Neodiprion lecontei: one gene and its partner. The protein of the gene in region 1 binds, or shares a complex with, the protein of each later gene. Links are inferred from orthologs where the notes say so. Each region holds a gene or a part of one and is shown in the gene's direction. Other genes may lie near its edges. The genes, in order: negative elongation factor B and negative elongation factor E.

The links.
Region 2: negative elongation factor B (region 1) and negative elongation factor E share a complex: the UniProt entries of both Drosophila melanogaster proteins name them as parts of the NELF complex. The link is inferred for Neodiprion lecontei from reciprocal best matches to the Drosophila melanogaster genes NELF-B and Nelf-E.

Annotation. Positions count from the first base shown.
Region 1 is NC_060261.1:555,937-562,870, reverse strand, and holds negative elongation factor B, read left to right. Parts: upstream 1-1,821; 5' UTR 1,822-2,001; intron 2,002-2,052; exon of another isoform or gene 2,053-2,271; 5' UTR 2,272-2,503; coding exon 2,504-2,626; intron 2,627-2,704; exon of another isoform or gene 2,705-2,711; coding exon 2,712-3,188; intron 3,189-3,303; coding exon 3,304-3,471; intron 3,472-3,541; coding exon 3,542-3,667; intron 3,668-3,733; coding exon 3,734-4,003; intron 4,004-4,110; coding exon 4,111-4,401; intron 4,402-4,474; coding exon 4,475-4,675; intron 4,676-4,748; coding exon 4,749-4,901; 3' UTR 4,902-6,319; downstream 6,320-6,934. Other genes in the region: PHD finger protein rhinoceros, read right to left, coding at 1-88, 449-613, 817-905, 1,406-1,433. UniProt on the Drosophila melanogaster protein: Essential component of the NELF complex, a complex that negatively regulates the elongation of transcription by RNA polymerase II.
Region 2 is NC_060261.1:4,102,940-4,107,450, reverse strand, and holds negative elongation factor E, read left to right. Parts: upstream 1-1,746; 5' UTR 1,747-1,916; coding exon 1,917-1,997; intron 1,998-2,365; coding exon 2,366-2,862; intron 2,863-3,175; coding exon 3,176-3,419; 3' UTR 3,420-3,876; downstream 3,877-4,511. Other genes in the region: uncharacterized protein LOC107223896, read right to left, coding at 3,877-4,511. UniProt on the Drosophila melanogaster protein: Essential component of the NELF complex, a complex that negatively regulates the elongation of transcription by RNA polymerase II by RNA polymerase II. The NELF complex, which acts via an association with the DSIF complex, causes transcriptional pausing.

The DNA of each region.
Region 1 (6,934 bases):
AGAGAGCCCGAAGAATTTCTACCTTTTGGCGTAGTGGCAAAAGCTCAAAGTCTACATCCGTATTGAAAGGATTATCTCTTCCATATTCCTGTAATGAAAGATAGCTCATAAATTCTGTTCAGTTGTATAACCTGTAGACTCCAAAATATTTTGAAGAGAAAGTGTACATCAAATTTTCAATTACATTGACAGTAATTGTCTAGCACCCTGGATAAAATTGATAAAGCTTATGAAACGAGTAAATTCAAAAGTAGCACAGTCAGGCTCTCACTTTTTTGGTACTAGTTACTTTATTTACTCGTTGAATATATTATTGTACTATCAATCGGAGTACTGTTCACAAGACTGATTTAGATGGTGTAGTTCATATCAGAAATGAGGAATTGGTCTTTCAGACATCAAATTTTAATGTACATACTCTAATCTACTTTGGAAGCTAGACACTCACTTGACACTTTTTTCTAAAGAGTCTACGGAGGAACATCTGATAATTAAAAGTAGAGATGTCATTGCGAGTGTCATTTGGTAGACAGCCTTCAAGTAATCTGACAATTAGTTCTTGCAATAGCCGGCCTTCTGTACCGCCGTCTGTGAGAAGAGCTTCTTCCAAATCCTGGAAGAAAAATAAGTGCAAATATTTCCATTTTCTATTAATGAATCATTTCAAAGAACAGAATTAGACAGAACGATTATGATGATAGAAATTGAGTTTAACCAAACAGGAAATCCTGCCTCAAGAAACAATTATAGTAAAATTCTATAAATTCTATTTGATTTAGCTAATTCGATACACGACTTTTGCATTGAACTAGATACCTCGATGTCAAAGTCCAGCAGATTGAAGGCAGCCCTAAACAATGAGCAGAAATGTGCGATACTTGGCACCTCCCACCACGATTGAATGTCTGGAGACAGAAACAAGCGAGTAAAAAATTTGCAGCAAGTTTTTAAATAACACAAGATTGGTTATTCAACTCTGGAGGTTTCAGGAAATTGTAAAACGTTGAGTCGACCAGGTATGATTGGAAAACTGACACATATCTAGCGGCACATCCAGTAGAAAGTAGAACACATCATTGATTCTAGTTACAGTTTGGTAAACGCTGTTCAAACTACTACGATTGACACAGGCACGATTCACTTATCATCACATCTGTCACTGGAAGATTCTTTCTCGTTTTGAAGGTAGAACAAAAAAAAAAAAAAAAGGAAAACAAAATAAGTGAACATTAGAAATGTGCGGATTTCATTTCGCGCTCAGTCGTTTTGAAATGCAAGTTCTGTGTTTATTCTCGACTGGATAACACTAATTGATTCCGGTAAAATGCGTCCGATTTTTGGTTATCCTGTCGGTTGGTACGCGGCGATGCTAAACTGAAGTTGGCTTCGGATATATTGGGCTCACCTAAAATCCCGATGAAAGTCGGAAACATAACCTGTCGAGGAAGGCAGACGGGTGCCACCACCCCAGTAAACGGAATTCCACCCCACAACAGCAGCCAGCAGCAGCAGCAGCAGCAGCAGCAGCAGAAAGAACGATCGCTCGACCGATCGGTTTTTGCGTCCAATGCACTTTTGAATTGGTATAAATTTTACACAGATAAGACATCGGGAACGGCGAACATGCTAATTGAGTAACTCGCGTTTCTACGTATATCAATTCAGCGTGACATTGTTGTATCGTACTTGTTCAACCTGTTTAAAGTTAGAAAAAAAACGAATTTATTTTCGCTTAGTACCCCGTTGTTGCAACCTGACGCGCGCGACACTTGCGGCCATCACGTTGCATTACTGCCAAATATACTAGGAGAATCAAAGACAGGAGCGAGATCAAAAATACGCGGTCAAAATTTACTATAAATGGGCGCGCAATCGAGCTGATTCATCTTTTTAGCATATCATTTTTTACACGATTACCAGCAACGCTACAAACAATCATAAAAAGTGTCGCGGCTTTTAAATTTAGCGTCACAAGTTTGAATTTGACTGACAATTGTAGAGGTATAGTATGATATCCTTGTATACATATAAATATAGCTAGACCGTTGACGACCGACTAGACTATAGTCAACTATAGTGCGTCGCAGTGCGTCGGATCAGATAAATAATTTCCATGTCTATTGAGTTGCTTATTTGTTGGTGAATGCTAGACGCCTTATAGGCCATTCATTTCCGTAACATATGTATATAAAACTGCGATACTTTCAGTAAAATACCCGGTAATACCGATTTCTAATTTTTCGGTATTGATACGAATTTTATATTCAACAGGAAGACGGCACAACAATCTTGGAAAGAAGAAAGACTAGTCATTCATAATTCTACTGTTGTAAACAATTGTCGTTGTCCTGCCAGCCGCCAATGTACAACCGTCAAACGTGGTTCAACGCTCAGCTTTGAACAGTTCTGTATTTATTTAGGTTAGGATAGGTTAGGTTAAGTCGGTTTGAATACAGAACCGCTGTCCCTTGATGGAAACACCGTATATTTGTGGGCTGTGAAAATGAGTGCGACCAAAAGTACGGAGGGTACGGGATTAGAGGATCTCGGAGTTCCAGGCCAAGTGTTTCTCAGAGATGCTCTGACCAGTTGCACCGATCCCCTGAAAGCCATTGAGGAGTTCCAGGTAAATACTCGGCGCTATTGTTGACTGGTTAAATCAAGCGATTACAATCTTGGCATGAGTATACTTACTAATCCGAAGATTCCAGTTAGAAAATGGTATTCTATTGCCTTCGTTACGTCCAATGTTACCGCTATTGGACCTCCACGGCGTCAGAAGGCTGGACTTTCACGCCTCGGTATTAGAAGAGCTTAGAGAAAAACTTGTGAAGCGGATAGCCGAGATTGGGGCTGAGCGAGGGGAAAAGGGGGGAAGCGACCGTAGGCTTAAGGATCTGTTGGCCAAGAGCTTTCCTGCCGTTAGAGTTGCCGCGCTCAGGCCAGTCGTTATGTGTATTTTAAGAAATACCCCTCATATCGATGACAAATACCTACGAGTACTGGTTAGGGAAAAGGAACTTTACAATGACGCTGACACGGAGGTGAAACGACAGATCTGGAAGGACAATCAAAGTCTTTTCGGAGATGAGGTATCGCCTCTTTTCAGTCGCTACATCATTGAAAAGGAACAAGTTTTGTTCGATCATCGGAACCTGAATGCCTTATTTTTTTCACCATCGCCCAAGGTTAGTTCTGATTGTGTTTAATTCGGACCAATACGTTTATTATCAGCTATTCAGTTCGAACTTGCTTCCTAACATTCCCCAAGTTGACTTGAACAAATCTTGGTCTAATTCGAAGGTGAGGAGACAAGGAGAAGTGGTACAGAAGCTGGCACACATGATAGGTCACAGCGTGAAACTTTACGACATGGTACTCCAATTTCTCAGGACTCTTTTTTTACGAACTAAGAATATCCATTACTGTACTCTTCGGGCTGAGTTGTTGATGGCACTGCATGATCTAGAGGTTTGAATCAAAAATATCATTGTATCAATTTCTCTTCAAATTAATGAAACAACTGATGATTGGTCTCTAGGTTCAAGATATAATATCTGTAGATCCATGCCACAAGTTTACTTGGTGCTTGGATGCTTGCATCAGGGAGAAAAACGTGGATGTGAAAAGGTCTCGAGAACTACAAGGATTTCTTGATAGCATCAAGGTACGATAGCAAGAAACTATAATTTCAAGCAACGACCAATAAAAATGGATCATTTTTTTTGCACAGAGAGGCCAGGAGCAAGTACTTGGGGATCTCAGTATGACACTGTGTGACCCATACGCCGTGAATTTTCTAGCTAGTAGCGCAATAAAAATAGCTCTTCATCTAATTAACGGGGAAGCTCTGCCACGGGATAACGCTGTCCTTGTTCTACTTCTGAGAATGCTGGCCCTGGGCTTGTCAGCCTGGCAAATGATCGACTCCCAAGATTTTAAGGAGCCGAAACTTGACAGTCAAGTTGTGACGAAGTTTCTGCCAGCACTTATGTCTCTCATGGTTAGTCTGATACTTGATATACGATTTTCCTTGACTCTATATTAATTTTGCAACTGAAACCTTAGTATTACCAAACTGCCGTAACAAATTAACTCCTTTCAAAATAGGTAGATGATCAGATAAGACAATTAAATGGAAAGCTCCCACCAGATGAAAGGGAAAGTGCTATCGCTATTATTGAGCACTCTGGACCACCTCCAGATGCATGTCAAGCTTACGCTCAACTTTCTGGAGTTGCAGCTGTTTTATCCATGTATCACGCTTTATACGTTGGCGGAGGTGGAAGTGGGAGTAGCGGAAGAGCTCGAGGTGATGCGAGAGGCTTAATGCGGGTCTTGGCAACGCTACCAAATTGCCAGGCGCATCGCGCTTTTGAGGATCCATTTTTACACACTCTGGTGAGTTGACAAGTGTCGAGAATATGTTGCACCTGACTGTTACAACGAAATAATCAATCTGCTCCTGGCAAAGGTATCTCTGCTGATCTTAAATATGGCTGATGAGTTTTCCGGTGAATCATTTTGCACCGTCATATTCGACGAATTCTTCCTGGCAGGATTAACAAGGGACAATGTTACGCGACACCTCTTGAAACTTTTATGGTACATTCATCCCAAACTTCCTCCGGCACGATTACATTCCCTGATGAAAGCCTTGCAGCCCAATAGCCAGGTAGGTCTCACGTTACTGGAGTTTCATCGTTAACGTCAATGTCACTTATTTATAAAACTATTATAATTTACAGCACAACGAAGCTGTGCATAGTCTCTATCAATCTCTCCGAGAAAAAATTGGCAGCCAATCAACAGAAGATCTTTTGATATCGTCAACTTCTATGGATACACTTGAATGCCCTGATTCACCACTAGATGTTGTCCCTACACCTGGGCCTCGTTAACTATTTTACATCGACAATAGGATTTTACGGGGTATGCGATGTATTTAGAGTTTTATCATTATACACAAATTAGAATGTATCGCAATTCAATATCAGAATAGAATGTATTAAGAAGCACCTTGATTCAGATGTGTTTTCAATAGATGATAGGCATTTTTATTATTTACTTCCAATGACTTCCTTTAAGGATATCACTAATGTGGAAACAACACTTGTAGCGTGTACAAATACATCGTACATATTTTTTTAATGGTACCATGTCTGACCCATGATATGGTACGTCACCTTGCGTATCCGTATGATTTAAGGCCAAAATGAAACTGTTTAGCGTATCACCCTTTGCCTTTAATCACGGAATCCCTCTTTTCCCCCACTGAAAATTGAATATGATCACAAATGTATCATCAACTGTCAGAAATAACGTGGGTTATCAAAATAATTAGAAAACAATTTTATTTCACAATTTTCATTGCGTGCATCAAGTTGTGTTGAGAATAGTTATCACCTACATTTCGCAATTTACACTTATATGCGATGAACATAACAGAAAATAAAACAGTTGAACGTTCACAAAAATATTCGATTCATTCAAAAATTTGTCTGCCCCATGTCTTATATTTCAACGTCATTACGATGGAATAAAGAAGAAAGGGTTTCGAGGTAATTTCAATGTATACCAATTGTCTATTCAGTTAAATCATAGTTGTCACAATGGTTCTTCGATAATCCGAAATTATTAACATCGGACTGCAAATATTGGGCTCAACCCTTGATACGCTAAAATTATAAGCTGCAAACCCAATGTTATCAGGTGCAAATTTATTTTCGATATAACGTTACTTTTTACGACCAAACGTGCGACTAAATCGAACAGAAATATTGTACATATTTCCTATTCCAATTAATGTTACTGAAGTTTTTGCACTCCCTAACTGTATCAAGTCATGTTACATACCTATATTTTCAATTTATTTTCTTCTTTCCGCTACTAAAATTGGATTTGTCAATATTAGTTTCATTATAATATTTTTAACGTAGAAATGGAGAGTTACTCTGTATCAATCATGTCCACGGAAATCTGTAAGCGCTGTGAAGAATATCATGACATGCTTGTTTGATTACCAACATTTCCAACTTTGACTAAATCGAGGTTGCTTTACAGTACGTTAAAAATATTACCTAAATTGCAACCAAATTCAGAGCGTTTATCCTCTACATATCAGTTGTCATGTACATTATAATTGCAATTAGGTATGTGGATGCAAATAATTTCTACTGAGGGCAGATTAATCGTAAATAAAACATCAAAGGGAAAATGGAAATGTATGTCTCTCTAAATGCCTTAAAACTGCATATTTAGGTATACTTGTATTCACTGCAACGAATTTGCCATTTGGCAAAGTTTCACATCCTATATAGGTAATAAGGAAAAATTGTAGAACTAACTTTATGTAGTTTTCACTATTAACAGCCACTGCCATGCAACCCGTAGTAAATAATAACTAAATCTCTACGATGTACGTGGATGAACACGTGCGTGCGTGTCCAAAGATAAAAAGTCATTAATAGCTACTGTAAATAATTCTTATAAGTAAGAATAGTACATTATGTAACAAGGACATAAAGTCCAATTATTCCCATGGTAAAATGACTCCATAATTTTTAAAAATTTTTTAATCCATTGTAATGTGATGTGAAACGTTTAATCGAATTACATGGCTCTGTCATCAAATGACGCAATATATTTTGTACTGAGTATTAAATAATTTGTGAGAAAATTTATCATATGCGAGGAGTTGAACTAATCTATCGATAGTTGTCACAATTAAGCGATTTTAAATCGAAACGAATGTTTATTACAGTATATTAAAGAACAAATTGTACCTCAGTGATGATATTACGTTACATACACAAGTAAAATATCACTGCTACTTTAGTAACGAAAAGATCACTTGCAGGAAACATTTTGTGCCGCTCTCTCCTGCAAACATCCGCCGAATGAAATTCTTATCTAATAAGCATATCTCAAAATT
Region 2 (4,511 bases), about 3.5 Mb from region 1:
GCTTATTTTGATTGGTTGCATACCATCAATTACGTTCTGCTTATATCGCCTGTTTCGCATATATGTTACAAATTTCGCTTGCTGTACATTTTCTTTTTCTATATATCTAGTCGTTAGTACAGTATCTTCTTTTTATGGATTACGCATCTCACTTGAATAGAAAAATAAGGTCTTCATCAATGGAAGGTTTCTGTACATTTAATATTGCCGCAGTAATATCACTTCGGATATCACAGGGAACACTAATATTTTCTAAGAGAGTTTCCAATGCGGGGTTGCTAAGTTAGTTTTAATATTACTTATAATATCGTCTTTTTTTTTAAGGATATTACGAATGATTTTCGCAACTAGCGTACCGAAATGTTTAGATTATCTGTACTTTACCTTACTTTCGTTCTGTGACTGTTTTAATTTATGTAATTTATGGTATTTTAATTTTCTTTATTTGTTATTGTTACTTGTACTATTCTTTTTGCACTGTCACGGCCGTTCAAACGATGCGAGACGTGTTGAAGACATTCTTTTCTTTCATTACGTTAATCAAACCGGAGAATTAAAAAAGACTGTGATTGCTATTTGAAAAAATTCCAGAAATAAGTTACTATCTGGTGAAGAACAAACAGTTTTTCTTTTTTTTTTTTTTACTTTTGGTCGCAGGCAATTAGAGCATTTTTTAATTCTCTTTAATTTCTTGTTTCGAATATGCCTTACTCTTATTATTTATCTTGCCTAGTGTTCTACGATCTTTTTCTGTTATTTATTTTCTTTGTCTTATGTTAACTATCGCCTTTCTCTTGCTTTTGTGAATTTCGTTGTTTAGCTTTAAACTTTTTTTATTGTATCGAGTCGCTCAACTGAGTTTTGTTTGTTTTGTTTATTGATAATAATAGAATTTGCTGTGGTATTTAGTGTTTTGTCTTATTAAGATACATTATACTGTGTTATATCATACATCGTTTTCATACACATTAGATGCGTTATTGTGAAATATTTTATTGGTTGTTAAAATTTTAATCTTTTATCGTTGTATCTTGAAATGTCATGTCAAAATATCGTCAGAAATTCTCATTATAAATTGCGCAAGGTTCAAATATACGGATTAATATTCGCTAAAGGAAATAATTTGTCTGATTACTTAATCTATTGTTTTATAATCCCCTAAATCCCTCTTGTCTGCCATAAAGCAACGTTATCGCGTTAGCCGAATCGGCCCGTCATGAATTTTCTGAATTATCTATTTTTACTTTTTGTATCGTTAATGTATGCTGCATCTAGTTCCCCAAAAATCGAGTAGTTTTATTTTGTAGCAAATTCTATCGCTAGAAATTGCAGGTCAACAGTGATAATATTTACGACCTTTTTCAATTAAAATTTCAAAGCAACTGTCATCGGGGTAGTTAAGTTTTGTTCATTTAGCCAGATACAATAATTGTGAGTCGAACATTTTAACCGTTTTATTAAGAATCGTTTTTCAATAGAATGAAATATTATTACAATTCGATTCGTATTGATATATTGATGGTTAACACGCCTTCAAATGGACTTAGGATCAGTTACCGGCCGAGTACTAGTTGCAAGCTATTCACTATGGTAAGTATACTCTGTATTATCCACCACTTTTGGGGAGTTTGCACAGAAGGATACCAGTCGGTAATCGATCTGCAATTACCGTCCGGCGTGTCTCGAAAATTAATTTCTAAAACTCACACCTTCCCAGGCAGCGCTATCAAATGAGAGGGACACGTTAGTATAGTTGTATAGAGGTCAGTGTTAGCGGCGCGTCGTTTTGTTGATTCCAGGGTGTCCGAAGGTTATGTGTGTTGACGTTTTGCGCGAAAACTTGTTATATTTCCATCTATTTATGTGTTATTTTTATTCCGTTTATACCAAGGGTTAGCGTATAGTGATATGACAAAATGGTGTACTTACACTTTCCGTCGAATTTAACTGAAGAGGAATTAATGCTGCAGGCTAAATACAACAAACTCAAACGGAAGGTAATTTTTCCCTCGCTTTGCTAGTCCGTACGCAGTACCTAATTTATATTCATGAAAACTTCACTTGCGACTTTTCGTTCTCACGGCTTAATATCAATTAGCTCTTAGACATCGAAGTTACTTAACCTAACTCTAAACTTACCGCTTTTGACGCGGTCCGTGTCGTCTTTTCCAACCTCAAAACTTACGTCAAGGAAGTCAGTTCTTGCAGTCTGTACCTATCTTAATTATATCATTCGCGAGTTGAATATATTTCTGGAAAACTATCTACCCAATGTATCTTTTACTTCTTATGCGAGAAATTAGTTTTGATATCTTAATTCATATAATTATCTTAAACTCTAACCCTGTCTGCTTTCTTTATCAAGAAAAAAGCCTTGCAAGCTCTGAAGACACCTAAACCGGAGCCGGAGCGCATACCTCAGTTACCAAAGAGGCCTACAGAAGCCAGGGATGCTCGGGAAGTTGCTAAAAAATTAATCAAGTCAGGAATCATCCCTGCCATTACGAAGACGCAAAAGCGTCCGGAGCAGTCATTTAAGAGGCCGAGAGGATTGGAAAGGAAACTTAATAGTACAGAAAAAACTATTTGTTCTTATCAACCATTTTCGGCGACGCAACCAGAGGAAGACGATACCGAGGCGTCGAGACCAAGAGTAAAAGACCTATATGATAGTTTTGTCAGTGCTCGAGACCACGAGGAAAGAGGGCTGCCTGACAAACAATTAGGTACGAGGACCGAAGCCAAACCTCGTGCTGGTAACACGATATTTGTTTGCGGACATAAAATATCAGAAGATTTTCTGAAGAAACACTTCCAAACGTTTGGACCGATTGTAAATATTTCTATGGAAACAGAGAAAAAGTAAGCAATACCATTTTTAATACGAATATTCACCTTAATTTGATGGATAGCATAAATATCTTGGATAATTTTGAAAGTGGTTACATTTCCAAGCTTAAAAGTTAAATTTTAAACTTTATGTACCTTTCTTTTTATAAAATTGACAAGTTTTAATGTGAATGCTTGTGGTCGGAAATCTGGATTCGATACAATCATTTTTAGTTTTGTGTTTACATTTTTTGTAACTAAATTCTCAGGGGGTTCTAGATTTTTTAGGTAATAGGTATCTGGCAAATACAAATATATATTATATTTTGAATTCTTATTATTTTAGCCGAGGATTCATAACCTTTGACAAAGCTGAGGTAGCGGAAAGAGCCATCAGTGAAATGGATGGCAGCATGGTATCGTCGATACAGCTGAAAGTGTCTTTAGCGCGAAGGCAGCCTGTGATAGATCCTATTAACGACACGACATCGAGTTCGATGTGGTCATCAGTAGCAGCTAGCTACTCCCAAAAAAGTTCGCATAAGGACAGACGAGATTTAAAGGTTTACGATGAAGATCTCTTTGGATAAATGGACTAAGAAGCTTGATGGGAGTTGTAATAGGACTTTTATAATTGTGCGTTTTACCTGTGAAAATTGAGTGGAGCTGATACCTGGACTTGTGGTGTACAGGTACTCTAGAGAAACGAAGGTAAATTTTTAAATAGCAAAGCTAAATATCGTCAAGTCTACTTGGATATTTACGGAAAAGGAGATTGTTAAGTTTGCCTAAAGTGTAAATAATTTACAGATTTATTAAAACGTAGGTAACCATCAACAATATAATTAATAAACAATAATAATTTGATAAATCAAACTATAGGGTTGCGTACAAATCCACTATCATCATTATATCAAAATAATAGTGCATTAATCTGTTTCGAGGGATACGTGTGGCGTATATATACGAAGCCGTTTTTGTCACATTTTAAATGTTCATGTGCTCTGATAGATTTCTTCATAAATTCGTGCACTGATGATCTCAGCCTCATTGCGGAGGGTTGAAGTAATCCCAATGATGATGATGCGTCACGGTTCTCGGTGACCCAAAACATAAAATGAGGAGGCCAGCTATCAATAGCAGCAGCGCGCATATCGCAAGTTCAATTTCCTTGATCTTTTCGCCACGGTCTTCAGTGCTTACTCTGGAGGCGACATAGCCAACGAAATGCCTCATTGCTCTGGTACCAGCCAATCTAAGAGCCCTCAGTAGCTGCTGGGTCATGTCCATTATACTCGGTTCAGACTCATACCTTGAGTCGATCGGGGATGCTAGGGAGAAGAAGTTTGCTGGAATTTGGGATGTTGGGAACGCCACGAACTGTGTGACTCCGGCAACCTGCTGCCTCAGAGAGACCTCCTCGTCTATGCTTTGAGTGTAAGACACAGTTGCGCGCTGCGGCTGTGCCTGGACTTCTGGTACTGGGCTAGGAACTGGATCGGGTGTGTCAGGTGTCACCGAGATCAACGGCGGTAGCGATTTCACTGGAGAAGCTGTCTGCCTCACAGCTTTTTTTCCGTCTATCGTCGGGGAGGACGACCTCGATCTCGGACACTTACGTTTTTCACATTTGCTCTCGTCTCTGAGAGAGGATTGGCCTTGAATCCGAATCTCTTCTTGGT